3 linked regions of the Oreochromis niloticus genome follow. The protein of the gene in region 1 purifies or fractionates together with the protein of each later gene. This does not show direct contact. Links are inferred from orthologs where the notes say so. Each region holds a gene or a part of one and is shown on either strand. Other genes may lie near its edges.

Region 1 (3,752 bases):
AGAATTCAACCATTTAGGAAACACCAGTTGAAAAAACTGTGGCTTTAGTTTTTGTTACTCAGAAGGACATTTTAGAAAATGTAAAAGCCAATAATAATAATAATAACAACAACAACAATAGTAATACATTTTATTAATAGGGCTCTTTCAAAACACTCAAGGATGCTTTAAAAGCAAATAAATAAAAAAACAAATACTGACTTTCCAAATGCATATAATATTACATATTACACTATCAATTTAAGATAATCTGTAACAGGACCTTTATTGGTGAGTCTTATAAGCTACACTTATTTTGTAACGTGCAAATCCTTCATGAAGCAGGGCTGTACAGGTGTGCCAGAATTTGCATTTTGGTTGATATTTGACTCGTATTTTGTCAAACACACCTGTTGTACTAACATGTAATTTGCTTAGATCCAGGGAAAAACCATTGTTTTAACAGGAATACAGTGCATTTTATTATCCGCTGTATTATGCAGTCAAATAGCCATGTAAATTCAAATATCTGTACAAACACAAAGATTTGATGGCATGCACACAATATGCAGACTTTTAACAGAAAGGTATTTGTTAATATATCCATATGAGCCAGGAAGTGGGATAAATTCTCTCTGTTTCGTCTTTTAATGACATATTGCAGTCAGTTTAATAACTGAGCTGCATGAGTAATAGATCCAAGTTAAAGCAATCATAGCTTGAGAACGGGCACAAGAAAAATCTACTCATGGCAAAAGGTTTATGAGTAAGACTCTGACCTTTACCAACGTGACTCCTCTCTGTGTAATTCTTCCTCTCAGCCTTCCAAAAACGTGTAAAGCAGCCATTATTAATGTACTCTTATGCTTCTTTATTATTACATAAAGTGAATTGCAAACAGCTAAGTATAGACTGAAATTGGGCAACGTTTTGGTTAATCATTTGGTACACAAAGAAAAAAATAGTACGACATTTAACTATAGTCCTATATAACAACTGTTTGTCATGTCTTTGTGTTGAACTGGTGCAATAAAACAGAAGTGTTCGGGTCTTACAGCTTTTAAAAGATCAGCCGGTCAAACTGCAAAGTGGAAGAGAGGCATTTTGGACATAACATAACAAAACAATGGCCTGCTTGGCCTATAACTAAAGCTCCAATCATGTTCTCCTCTTCCCGTGTTTTTGGCCTATCAATCTAATCAAAATATTGATCTGACAGTGTAAAATTGCCTGTTTTAATGCATTTGAACTGCAGTAAAAAATAAACAAAAATACACAACTTTAGTGAATTACTTTCAGTGCCCCTTATAGCCTTATTACATGTTCTAATTTATATATATTTTTTCTAAATCATCAAAAATACTGAGACATATTTCTCAAAATTCTCGTGAAGGTATAGATGATACTGAGTGTCTTTAAAAAATTCTGTGTTATTTAAGCAGTGGCGATATGAACAAAATAGCCTTCATCCCCGGATAAAGATGATGATGATGATGCCCGGTTCTGTTTGCGTCACTACCATGCGACGCGAACATCGAGGTGAAAGTGCAAGCTGCCATTTTTTGAAAGAAGTCTTTTTGATGAGTTAGGCGACCAAAGCCAAAGTGTGAGTTTCGCCGTTAGCGCTTCGTCGTTGGGTTTTTTATGCTGGTGGGTTGACACGTATTAATCCGGCGTGTTACAGAAGCTCTGTGTATTCAGGGTCTGTTTGGAGAGCAGGCTAGCACAGGGCTGCACTGCTCTGCAGATGGCTGCTTAGCTCGGTTGGCTAACGTTAGCTGGTGCTGTAAACAAACACTGGAGTGAGTGAAGAAGCAGCTGCTGATAAAGGAGCTCATCTTCATCGCAGGCTTGCTTTAGCGGATTTGGTCGATAATTCAGGAAGCTGGGAGGAAGGTAACGTTTGGGAGGAGCGGGAAGCAGTTTGATGCTACCTGTCTGTAAGTTAGCAGCACAACTTCAGTTTTGATGACAGTGCGGGTCTCTCCAAAATAGCTCGGGGCTCAGTCGCGTTAGAGCTGGTCGGAGTCGGTCCGGTCACAAGGGAAGCGCACACTCACTCACCGGCATGTCGTCCTTCTCTGAGTCCGCCCTGGAGAAGAAGCTGTCGGAGCTGAGCAGCTCGCAGCAGAGCGTCCAGACTCTGTCTCTGTGGATCATCCACCACCGCAAACACTCGGCCCTCATCGTCAAAGTGTGGCACAGAGAGCTGAAGAAAGGTGAGATCTGACTGCCCCCGCTGAAACCCCCCCCCACACACACACACACACACACACACACACACACACATACACACATACACACATTTGTGTTGTATGTTGCAGCCAAAGAGAGAGCTGGTAACTTAAACAAGTAAAGGACACTGTACATGCATTAATACATGCATTTCTTTCTAAGCCATGACATAGGCACAGACTGTAAACTCATTTTACGCTGTGAGCCACGTACAGCACACTGCAAAGCCCCTTTCTGTCAGTGCAAAGAAGTTTAACTGTGCATTTAATCCATGGCATTATCTTAGTTTCAGGAAATAAATGTGTAGGATGACTTCTGGTATCTTACAGCCCAGTCTGTCCTGTACTGTTTTGTTTTTGTTTGTTTTTTTGTTAATAGAAAATAGCCTTTTTTAAACTGTGGACCTATTGTAAAAAAACATAAACTGTTATAGTGCATTGTGGAAAAAAAAACTATTTTTCTCTCAGTTAATTGTTTATCTGTTGCTTAATTACTTTGGTGCAGTATGAACAGTAATGGGGGAGGTCTTTCTCAGTAGGAAAACCTATAAACCACATATTATGCACCTTTCTACATTTTCCAAAGCTGTCCAGTGGGCTGAATTGGAATCTGTGCTAGGCTGATTCTGATCCGTGGGAATTATGTTTGACACCCCTGCCCTAAGACCTTATAGATGGTCAGCTTGCATTGGTGTGAAAGAATAGAAATGCTACTAAATCAAGTTTTATTGCGACTAACAGTGTATTTTTCCTAATTCTTATGCTGTAAGTAAAGGAGATGGGCATGATGAAGGGAAAATATGCCAATTAAAACTCAAACTGCAACTCAAACTCAAAATAATTTGAATGTGAGAAACTGATAATCACTCTGTGAATTTTCCTTGTTAATTTTGTTAAAGCTAATGTTTTAAATGAGATATTTTTCATGTATCTTGCAGCTAAAAGCAGCAGGAAGCTGACATTCCTGTATCTGGCTAATGATGTCATCCAGAACAGCAAGAAGAAAGGCCCCGAGTTCACCAAAGACTTTGAGTCTGTGCTCGTCGATGCCTGCTCCCATGTTGCCAGGTATATTTTAATGGTGACCACCGTGTTCTCTGAGTCAGCTCCAAATTAGACTCTCCTGAATGTAGTAAATGTGTGTGAGTCTGTGTGGGGAAGTAGATGCATGGGAAATAATTTGTTTGAATTGTGGTTTTGCTATGCTTTTCTATTAAGCACAGCAGATCCTATCTGGACCTCTGCAGCCCCGATTATCTTTTGTCATACATGTCATAAAAACTCTGGATGTGCTTTGATCTTTTTATAGCCTTCCTGTACGTCTTTAAATTTTAAATTTTTATGTAACAAGTTGTTATTCCCTTATTGTGTGCTGAACTCTGTTGTTCCTCTCGTCGCCCTGCAGTGATGCAGACGAGAACTGTAAAAAGCACATGGAAAGACTGTTGAACATCTGGAAGGAGAGGAACCTCTACAGAAGCGACTTCATCCAGCAGCTCAAACTCGCCATAGAAGACTCAAACAGTCCCAGGCCTTCAG
Region 2 (3,752 bases), on another chromosome or scaffold:
TTAACTTTGATTATTATATTGAATGGCTGGTGCTCTTGTCTGAGATAGACTGTGTTATCAGCTGATTAGTATGAGGCTTTTGCTTATGGATGGTGTATTGTACTTTTAATCTGCACTGAAGCTTTAATTACATGTATGCTCACATTTTTCATTTGCAATAAAATCACTGAAAAGGCTGGCTGTTTCACCTCGTTCACATTCATTCATGTGGCAAAATTTAAAATCTACACATTTAAAATCTGTTTTTATGCAAATGTTTATTACATTGAAGTTTTATCCACTGATGGAGGAGACACGACAGAGGTCTTATTGTGAAAATCATCCACCACACTTCTAGCAATTTTCATTTGACGAAGAATTGACTTCTTTTAGAGTTTTATTCAAGGAAAGTAAAATTTCAGAATATTTCTAGACTATAATGAGAAAAATAAGTATTTATTGGTTTGTAATTTTTTTTAAGGGACTGCTAGTGATACATGTGAAAATTCCAGTTAGGTATATTAAAATTAATTACTTAAAATATTTGCAAAACATAAAACTAGTAAAGTCAATATTCTTTTAAAATACGGAAATATATATAATATAGAAATGATTAGTTATTTATATACTGCGTTACTAATAAATTATAAACTACTAAAATGTACTAAAAGTAATGTTTCTAATCCACAAAACATAAGAAAAAAATACCTATTTTTTAAGACCCGTGAACAGCATAAATATTTTACTCTCTGCAGTCATGTGTTTTTTATTTATATTAATGTATCTGTAAAATATTCTAATAAAGTTTCCTTGTGTTTTCATCATGGTTTATTAAACACACTGCTGCCCTCTGGCTTTCGTTTTGAACACCGCGTTTCCATTTTACGACAGCGGCTGCGTGTGGACGGCAGCCGGTTACTATAATATCTCTCCAGCATCATGGCAGCGGCGGCGGAGTGTCCCGGCACTGATGCGGCTTTCCCGGAGACGGCAGGTGGCAGCGGGGTCCCGGGAGCTGCTGTCGGGGACAAACCCGTGTGTCTCATCGTGCTCGGCATGGCGGGCTCCGGGAAAACCACCTTCGTCCAGGTGAGTCCCGGTCCCTTAGCGGCTAACGCAGTTAGCAGCATGAGTTAGCTTCTTCAGAGAGACCGGAAGGTAAATAAACGAGCAGCGACAGGTACAGGTTTGTGAGCAGGTTTACATCAGAGGAGGAGGAAGAGCTTTTTTTTTTATTATTTAATTCCAGCTAAAACTCAAGTACCAACCAGCTTTCTGTGGCACACCGAGGACCACACGAAGCCCCCAAACTGCGCACAAACCCATTGGCATCAAATAAAATCAGTTTGATTTCAGTCAGGTAGGAGAGGCAGCAGAAGGTTAGTTATCCTGCAACATGAAACAGCCTTTAATAAAATAACTTAGAGAAAGCATAAAAGCTCAATAGAATATAAGTAAGGTCAGCATGGAATGGATTACATAGTATTAGCACATTTAAATAGAAAACAATAGAATATAGAGTAGAGTCAAACTTTACTAAATTGTATTTAGCCCAATAAATGTTAAAATAGCTTACTAAAGTCACTAAATTAAACCAATGACACCCTGTGACTGATGTTTGCTTCTCCTTCAGTCTGAGCTCAGAGATGAAGATTTTCTAAGCGGCTGATGTTAACATCTTCAGCTTCCCTCCTCTTCCTCAGAACATTTCCTCCGTATAAACAGTGTTTCCTGTTTGTCTGCCTGTTATGAAGTGAGCCGCAGTCACGAGTAATCTGAGTACTTTTCTGTTTCCTGCAGAGGCTGACGGCTCACCTGCATTCCCTCAAAGCTCCTCCATATGTCATCAACCTGGACCCCGCCGTCCACGAGGTCCCTTTCCCTGCAAACATTGGTAGGATCCATCTGTTTGTTGGATGCTACTTATTTAAACAAGAACTTAAAACTCAATGTGGGATGCTGGATTTGCAGAAGTGCGTTTAATCTTTGCATTACACATCACAGCGAAAGCAAATAACCTTCACGTGTTTTTGTGATTCAAACACAGCCGGAAAGACTTTTAGCTCCACGTCATCTTCAGCGTCTGTTAGTTTTCTCTGTCTGTCCTCTTGCTTTCAGACATCAGGGACACGGTGAACTACAAGGAGGTGATGAAGCAGTACGGCCTCGGACCCAACGGTGGCATCGTGACGTCACTCAACCTGTTCGCCACCCGTTTTGATCAGGTGACTCACAAATCTCAACATCTCGCGGTACGAATGTCCATACCAGACAAACCATTCGGATCCTGACTTTGTGTTTGTTTTCTTCAGGTGATGCAGTTCATCGAGAAGAAGCGACAGAATCACCGGTCAGTATGTAGCTGCTTATTTGCAGCTAAATGCAGTTAATGTTTTAAGGACTGTGAGGGACCCCAGCGGCTTCCTGTGTGTGGTTGTGATGCACAACACTCCAAAATATTAAAGGAACACCTTAAAACACAGCAGATCTCCATCCATCCATCCATCTTCATCCGCAGATCTCAATGAGGGTAATAGGTTAGGAATAATGGAAATTGAAATGATCCGCCTGCACTGGGCTAAAGTCAAACACACCCCAAAAATCAAAGTAAAAAAATCGATGCAGGCCCGTTTTGTTCAGATTTCATTGCAGGAGTTCAGAAATGATTCTCGGGAGTTTGAATCCCCCCCACGTGTTTATATGAATGCCTGACGGCGCCGGGGTGATGTCCTAAGATAAGATAAGATAACCTTTATTAGTCCCACACGTGGGAAATTTGTTTTGTCACAGCAGGAAGTGGACAGTGCAAAAGTTACGAAGCAAAAATTAGAATACAATAAGAATAAATACTGTACACAACTGTACATAATAGAATAAAATAAAATACTGTATACAGTAGAATAAGATAAAATAGAATAAAATATACAATAAGATAAAAATAGAATACAAATGCTATATACAACTGAGTAAAAATACAACGATGCCAGAAAAGATTATTGCACTTAGTGTTATTGCACATGTGTGGATGTGTGTGTTTGATCAGTTGAAGTCTTTGTTGTGGAGTCTGACAGCAGTGGGGAGGAAAGACCTGCGAAATCTCTCCATCCCACACCGTGGGTGCCGCAGCCACTGAAGGAGCTGCTCAGTGCTGTCACAGTCTCCTGCATGGGGTGGGAGATGTTGTCCAACAGGGATGACAGCTTAGCCACCATTCTCCTGTCACTCACCACCTCCACTGGGTCCAGAGGGCATCCTAGAACAGAGCTGGCCCTGCGGATCAGCCTGTTCAGTCTCTTCCTGTCCCCAGCAGAGATGCTGCCGCCCCAGCAGACCACACCATAGAAGATGGCTGAGGCCACCACAGAGTCATAGAAGGTCTTCAGGAGTGGGCCCTCCACTCCAAACGACCTGAGTCTCCGCAGCAGGTACAGCCTGCTCTGCCCTTTCCTGTAGAGGGCGTCTGAGTTATGAGTCCAGTCCAGTTTGTTGTTCAGATGAACACCAAGGTACCTGTAGCTGTCCACAGCCTCGATGTCCATACCTTGGATGTTCAGTGGTTGCAGTGGAGGATGTTTGTGCCTGCGGAAGTCTACCACCAGCTCCTTGGTTTTACTGGCATTGATCTGGAGGTAGTTCTGCTGGCACCAGTCCACAAAGTCCTGAGTCAGTCCTCTGTACTCCTTGTCGTCCCCATCAGTGATGAGGCCGACTATTGCAGAGTCATCAGAGAACTTCTGCAGGAAGCACTGGGTGGAGTTGTGGGAGAAGTCTGC
Region 3 (3,752 bases), on another chromosome or scaffold:
CCCCTGCAGTGCAAGCAAGTATGAAAAGACCTCATTTTTACGTGTGTTGGATACATTCATTCATACCAGGCAATATAATGCATTCTTTTTAAAGGTAGCTGCTAAGCCTGCATACCAAACACAACCCAGAGTGCTATAGATATCCTGGAATGTGACAGGATTTACATGTGTAGTTTTGCAAACGATGGAGGTTTTGAATTTTAGAAATCCTTTTCTGAAAGGAAGAATTAATAAACAGGTCTAGACTACATGGAGTCAGGAAATCTAACATCCATCTATCCACACTTTGTCCAATTTAGACTCACCAATTAACCTAACCTCACTAAAAGGGTGTCTTAGAAGCCGGAGTACCCGGAGAGAAGATCCAAACACCACACAGAAAGGCCCTGGACCTCCCCGAGTTTGTCCATGCAATTGAATCTCAGACAAAACGCACCTGCTGCTAAAACAAAGACATACAGCACACAAGCACACCTGTGTCCTTGTTCATCAGTTCGTTGTAGTATGCAAAGAAGGCTCTGAACTCTGCCGGCCTGTGAGACAGCACTTTAAAGACATTGGGCAAAAATCCTCCCTGTAAGGAAGCACAGGTTTAATGGGGAGCAGAATCAAGTTCAGCAGACTTAAAGACCTTGAACGCCTCATATGTAAACCTTTGATTCCACTTCCTCCATAAGCTCCACTATATCATACGGCAGATCTTTCTTGTAAGGAATTGGGTATCGGCTGATTTTCTCTGGTGGAGAGCCACTGGAGGAAGATCTGGTGCCCGTCGCTGCTGCCGCCGCCCCCTTCCCCCGAAACAAGCAACCTGAACGGAGACACACCTGCAGGGAGGACAGCGCAGTCACATAAAATCACCCATAAAGTGCGCTGGAGATAGCCTACAAAGTGGAAAAGTATGGAACAACTTACAAGCTGTGTCAGAGGAGGGCGGAACAGCTTCGAGACGAGGTTACTCGCCATGTCAGTCAGCAGAAACTGGAGGCTGGTGTGAGATTAATCTGATCGTCAGTCAGCTACTGCTGTATCCAGGCGAAGAGGTTTTTAAGGAAGTCAGACTAATCCTTAAGAGGCACAAAGTTAGAGCTAATGTCGCTAAGTTAAACAGGGATATTTACCTATCCAGCTTTCAGTCACCTATTCGACTCCACAGTGCGTCACATTACACAATAACTGAAGCAGTGTTGACCATTAATTAGCTACCGTGTTAGCAAATAACTCGTTTTTGCTTCGTTTATATGTCAGATGTTAATAGTCTCGTGGAAAACAAACCAATCAAAACCCAGTATGGAGGCACGCCTGCTGCACGTCCACACCCTCACGCACTAGTCCTCCTCACCGACAGGGGTCAGTCTGTGACTGGATTGAAAAGGTTAGCCTGATTTCTGTGGGTCGTTTAAATAGTTAATTAAGCGATTCTTAGATAAAGCAGATAAAGTATTTAAATTGTTATTAATATTTATTATTTAACTTAACTTGTGATTATTAGAGCTGACTTTCGTGTCTACCAAAATTAGGAAAGAAAAGCGACACGCTCCTGAGAGACAGAACTGAGGGCAACAACATCCCATATCCCAACATCGTCCTCTGACTCGGAAGTGACTTTGTCAAGAACAAACGAGCGGCTGGTTTTCATTCAATACACGAAAAAACATCTTTTGGAAAATATAATAAAACGATTTTTGAGTTGGGACTAAACGTAAACAGACCGAAATGTTTTACCATGTAAGTATTTGTATTGCTCTCCGTATATAATCGCTAACAGCAGTCTGGTTCTGTTGTTGATAAGAGTTTGGCTGGCGTGCTTGTAGCTACTGTAGCTTTGTAAAACTTTATCATATACCCTTAAAAGCTGTTATCACTGTTGCGCTTTTATAGTTGTGTGGAGATGATACCAGTGTTTTTTCTCTTGTTTTTGAACGGCAGCAGAATAGCTTGAGCAGTGACGTTGTCCACGGCAAGCTAATTTAGAGAAGCCTTGTTTTCACAGATTTCTTTGGAGCACGAAATCTTACTACATCCGAGATATTTTGGTCCAAATCTGCTGAACACCGTGAAGCAGAAGCTCTTCACAGAGGTCGAGGGGACCTGCACTGGCAAGTGAGTGACTCTTGTGTTTGACTTAAAAATACTTTAAATCAAAGGCTAAAAAGAGGTTGAAATTTGACCTTTGGCTTCTGGAAAACTGGGCCACAGATGGAGGTTGTTTTGCAATTTAAATAATTTGTTTAATTCTGTCTTGCAGGTATGGCTTCGTCATTGCAGTTACCACCATTGACAACATCGGAGCTGGCGTAATCCAACCAGGCAGAGGTTTTGTCCTCTATCCAGTCAAATACAAGGCCATTGTCTTCCGTCCGTTTAAAGGAGAAGTTGTGGATGCAGTGGTCACTCAGGTTAACAAGGTGAGGGGCAGGTTTAGAGTCTTAAAGCCCTAACACAGTGTTCATACCATGCTGTAGGAAAGTTTTTGCCCCCTTTCTGATTTCTTAGTTTTTTGTTTGTGTTTGTTTTTTTTGTTGTTGTTTTTTTCATATTTGATGATCATCAAAAAAAAATTATATCAGAGAGAGGGTTTTAACTTTAGTAAATACAAAATGCAGTGTTAAATGAATTCATTTATTAAGGGGAAAAAAGCTATCCAAAACCTAGTTGGCCCTGTGTGAAAAATAATTCCTGCTACATTTTAAATCTTACATTAAATATGACTAATCATTTTGGAATTTTTTATTTTTTTTGGAAAGTTGAGTTCAGTTTCACTATCCACACCCAGGGCTGATCACTGTCAAACCTGTTGACTCAAGAACTCACTTAACTTGTTGGGGATTTCCATGTTTGTTAGTTTTTTACCTTACAATATAAAGCGCCTTGAGGCAGCTGTGGTTGTGGTTTGGCACTAGATAAATAAAACTGAATTGAATTGAAGTAGGACTGGTCTGACAAAGTGATGTAGGCTAAAAGATCTCAAAAAGCAACACACTAAAGAAACTCAAGAACAGATGAGAAACAAAGTCAATGACACATGTCAGTCTGGGAAGAGTTACAAAGCCATTTCTAAGGTTTTGGGACTCCACTGAACAACATTGAGAGTGTTTAACTACAAATGGAAAAATGCATTCAGCTGTCTGTGCATTGAGGCTCTCTGTGACTTGGATTATGCAGCAGGACAATGAGTCAAAACAAGTACACCTCTGGATGGTTAAAAAGCTAAAATAAGAGTTTTGGAGTGGCATAGTGAAAGTCTGGACTTAAATCGAATTGATATGCTTTGGCATAAAACCTGCCACCACCTCTCCCTTCTCTTGTCTCTATATCCTGTATTCCAGCCATCCTATAAGATGTAGAAATATAAAAAAAAATGTACTTCTGAATTTTCTGAATCACTTTAACAGCCAAAGTGTTAAACTAAATGTGTCCAGTTTTAAAAAATGAAGTCATGAATTGCTGAAAAAGAATAGTGTTTTGTCTTCCTTTTGAAATGTTTCTAAATATGTCTGTAATTCTTACAGGTCGGTTTGTTCACAGAAATAGGTCCCATGTCCTGCTTCATCTCTCGCCACGTGAGTCAGCAAGATATTTACAATTGTGTTTAATTAGTTGTCGTTTAGTGCACTTTGTAGTATTCATGTTGTTTGTAATTCAATCTCATGATACATTTCTTTTGCAGTCGATCCCCTCAGAAATGGAGTTTGACCCCAATTCTAATCCACCCTGTTATAAGACAGTTGATGAGGTATTGTTTCATTGTT

The links.
Region 2: the proteins of rprd1b (region 1) and gpn1 purify together in Homo sapiens (affinity purification with mass spectrometry; 3 studies listed by BioGRID and IntAct, counting the BioPlex papers as one, with this or other methods). This does not show direct contact. The link is inferred for Oreochromis niloticus from reciprocal best matches to the Homo sapiens genes RPRD1B and GPN1.
Region 3: the proteins of rprd1b (region 1) and polr2g purify together in Homo sapiens (affinity purification with mass spectrometry; 3 studies listed by BioGRID and IntAct, counting the BioPlex papers as one, with this or other methods). This does not show direct contact. The link is inferred for Oreochromis niloticus from reciprocal best matches to the Homo sapiens genes RPRD1B and POLR2G.

The regions. Positions count from the first base shown.
Region 1 is NC_031984.2:24,341,851-24,345,602, forward strand, and holds the start of rprd1b (regulation of nuclear pre-mRNA domain-containing protein 1B), read left to right. Parts: upstream 1-1,470; 5' UTR 1,471-1,875; intron 1,876-1,974; 5' UTR 1,975-2,047; coding exon 2,048-2,198; intron 2,199-3,151; coding exon 3,152-3,281; intron 3,282-3,618; coding exon 3,619-3,752. UniProt on the Homo sapiens protein: Interacts with phosphorylated C-terminal heptapeptide repeat domain (CTD) of the largest RNA polymerase II subunit POLR2A, and participates in dephosphorylation of the CTD by RPAP2. Transcriptional regulator which enhances expression of CCND1.
Region 2 is NC_031965.2:38,255,518-38,259,269, reverse strand, and holds the start of gpn1 (GPN-loop GTPase 1), read left to right. Parts: upstream 1-878; 5' UTR 879-918; coding exon 919-1,068; intron 1,069-1,779; coding exon 1,780-1,873; intron 1,874-2,097; coding exon 2,098-2,204; intron 2,205-2,291; coding exon 2,292-2,329; intron 2,330-3,752. UniProt on the Homo sapiens protein: Small GTPase required for proper nuclear import of RNA polymerase II (RNAPII). May act at an RNAP assembly step prior to nuclear import.
Region 3 is NC_031966.2:22,184,107-22,187,858, reverse strand, and holds the start of polr2g (DNA-directed RNA polymerase II subunit RPB7), read left to right. Parts: upstream 1-1,249; 5' UTR 1,250-1,375; intron 1,376-1,520; 5' UTR 1,521-1,716; coding exon 1,717-1,728; intron 1,729-1,993; coding exon 1,994-2,103; intron 2,104-2,248; coding exon 2,249-2,408; intron 2,409-3,512; coding exon 3,513-3,563; intron 3,564-3,670; coding exon 3,671-3,736; intron 3,737-3,752. Other genes in the region: uncharacterized protein si:ch211-175m2.5, read right to left, coding at 475-574, 654-827, 916-966. UniProt on the Homo sapiens protein: Core component of RNA polymerase II (Pol II), a DNA-dependent RNA polymerase which synthesizes mRNA precursors and many functional non-coding RNAs using the four ribonucleoside triphosphates as substrates.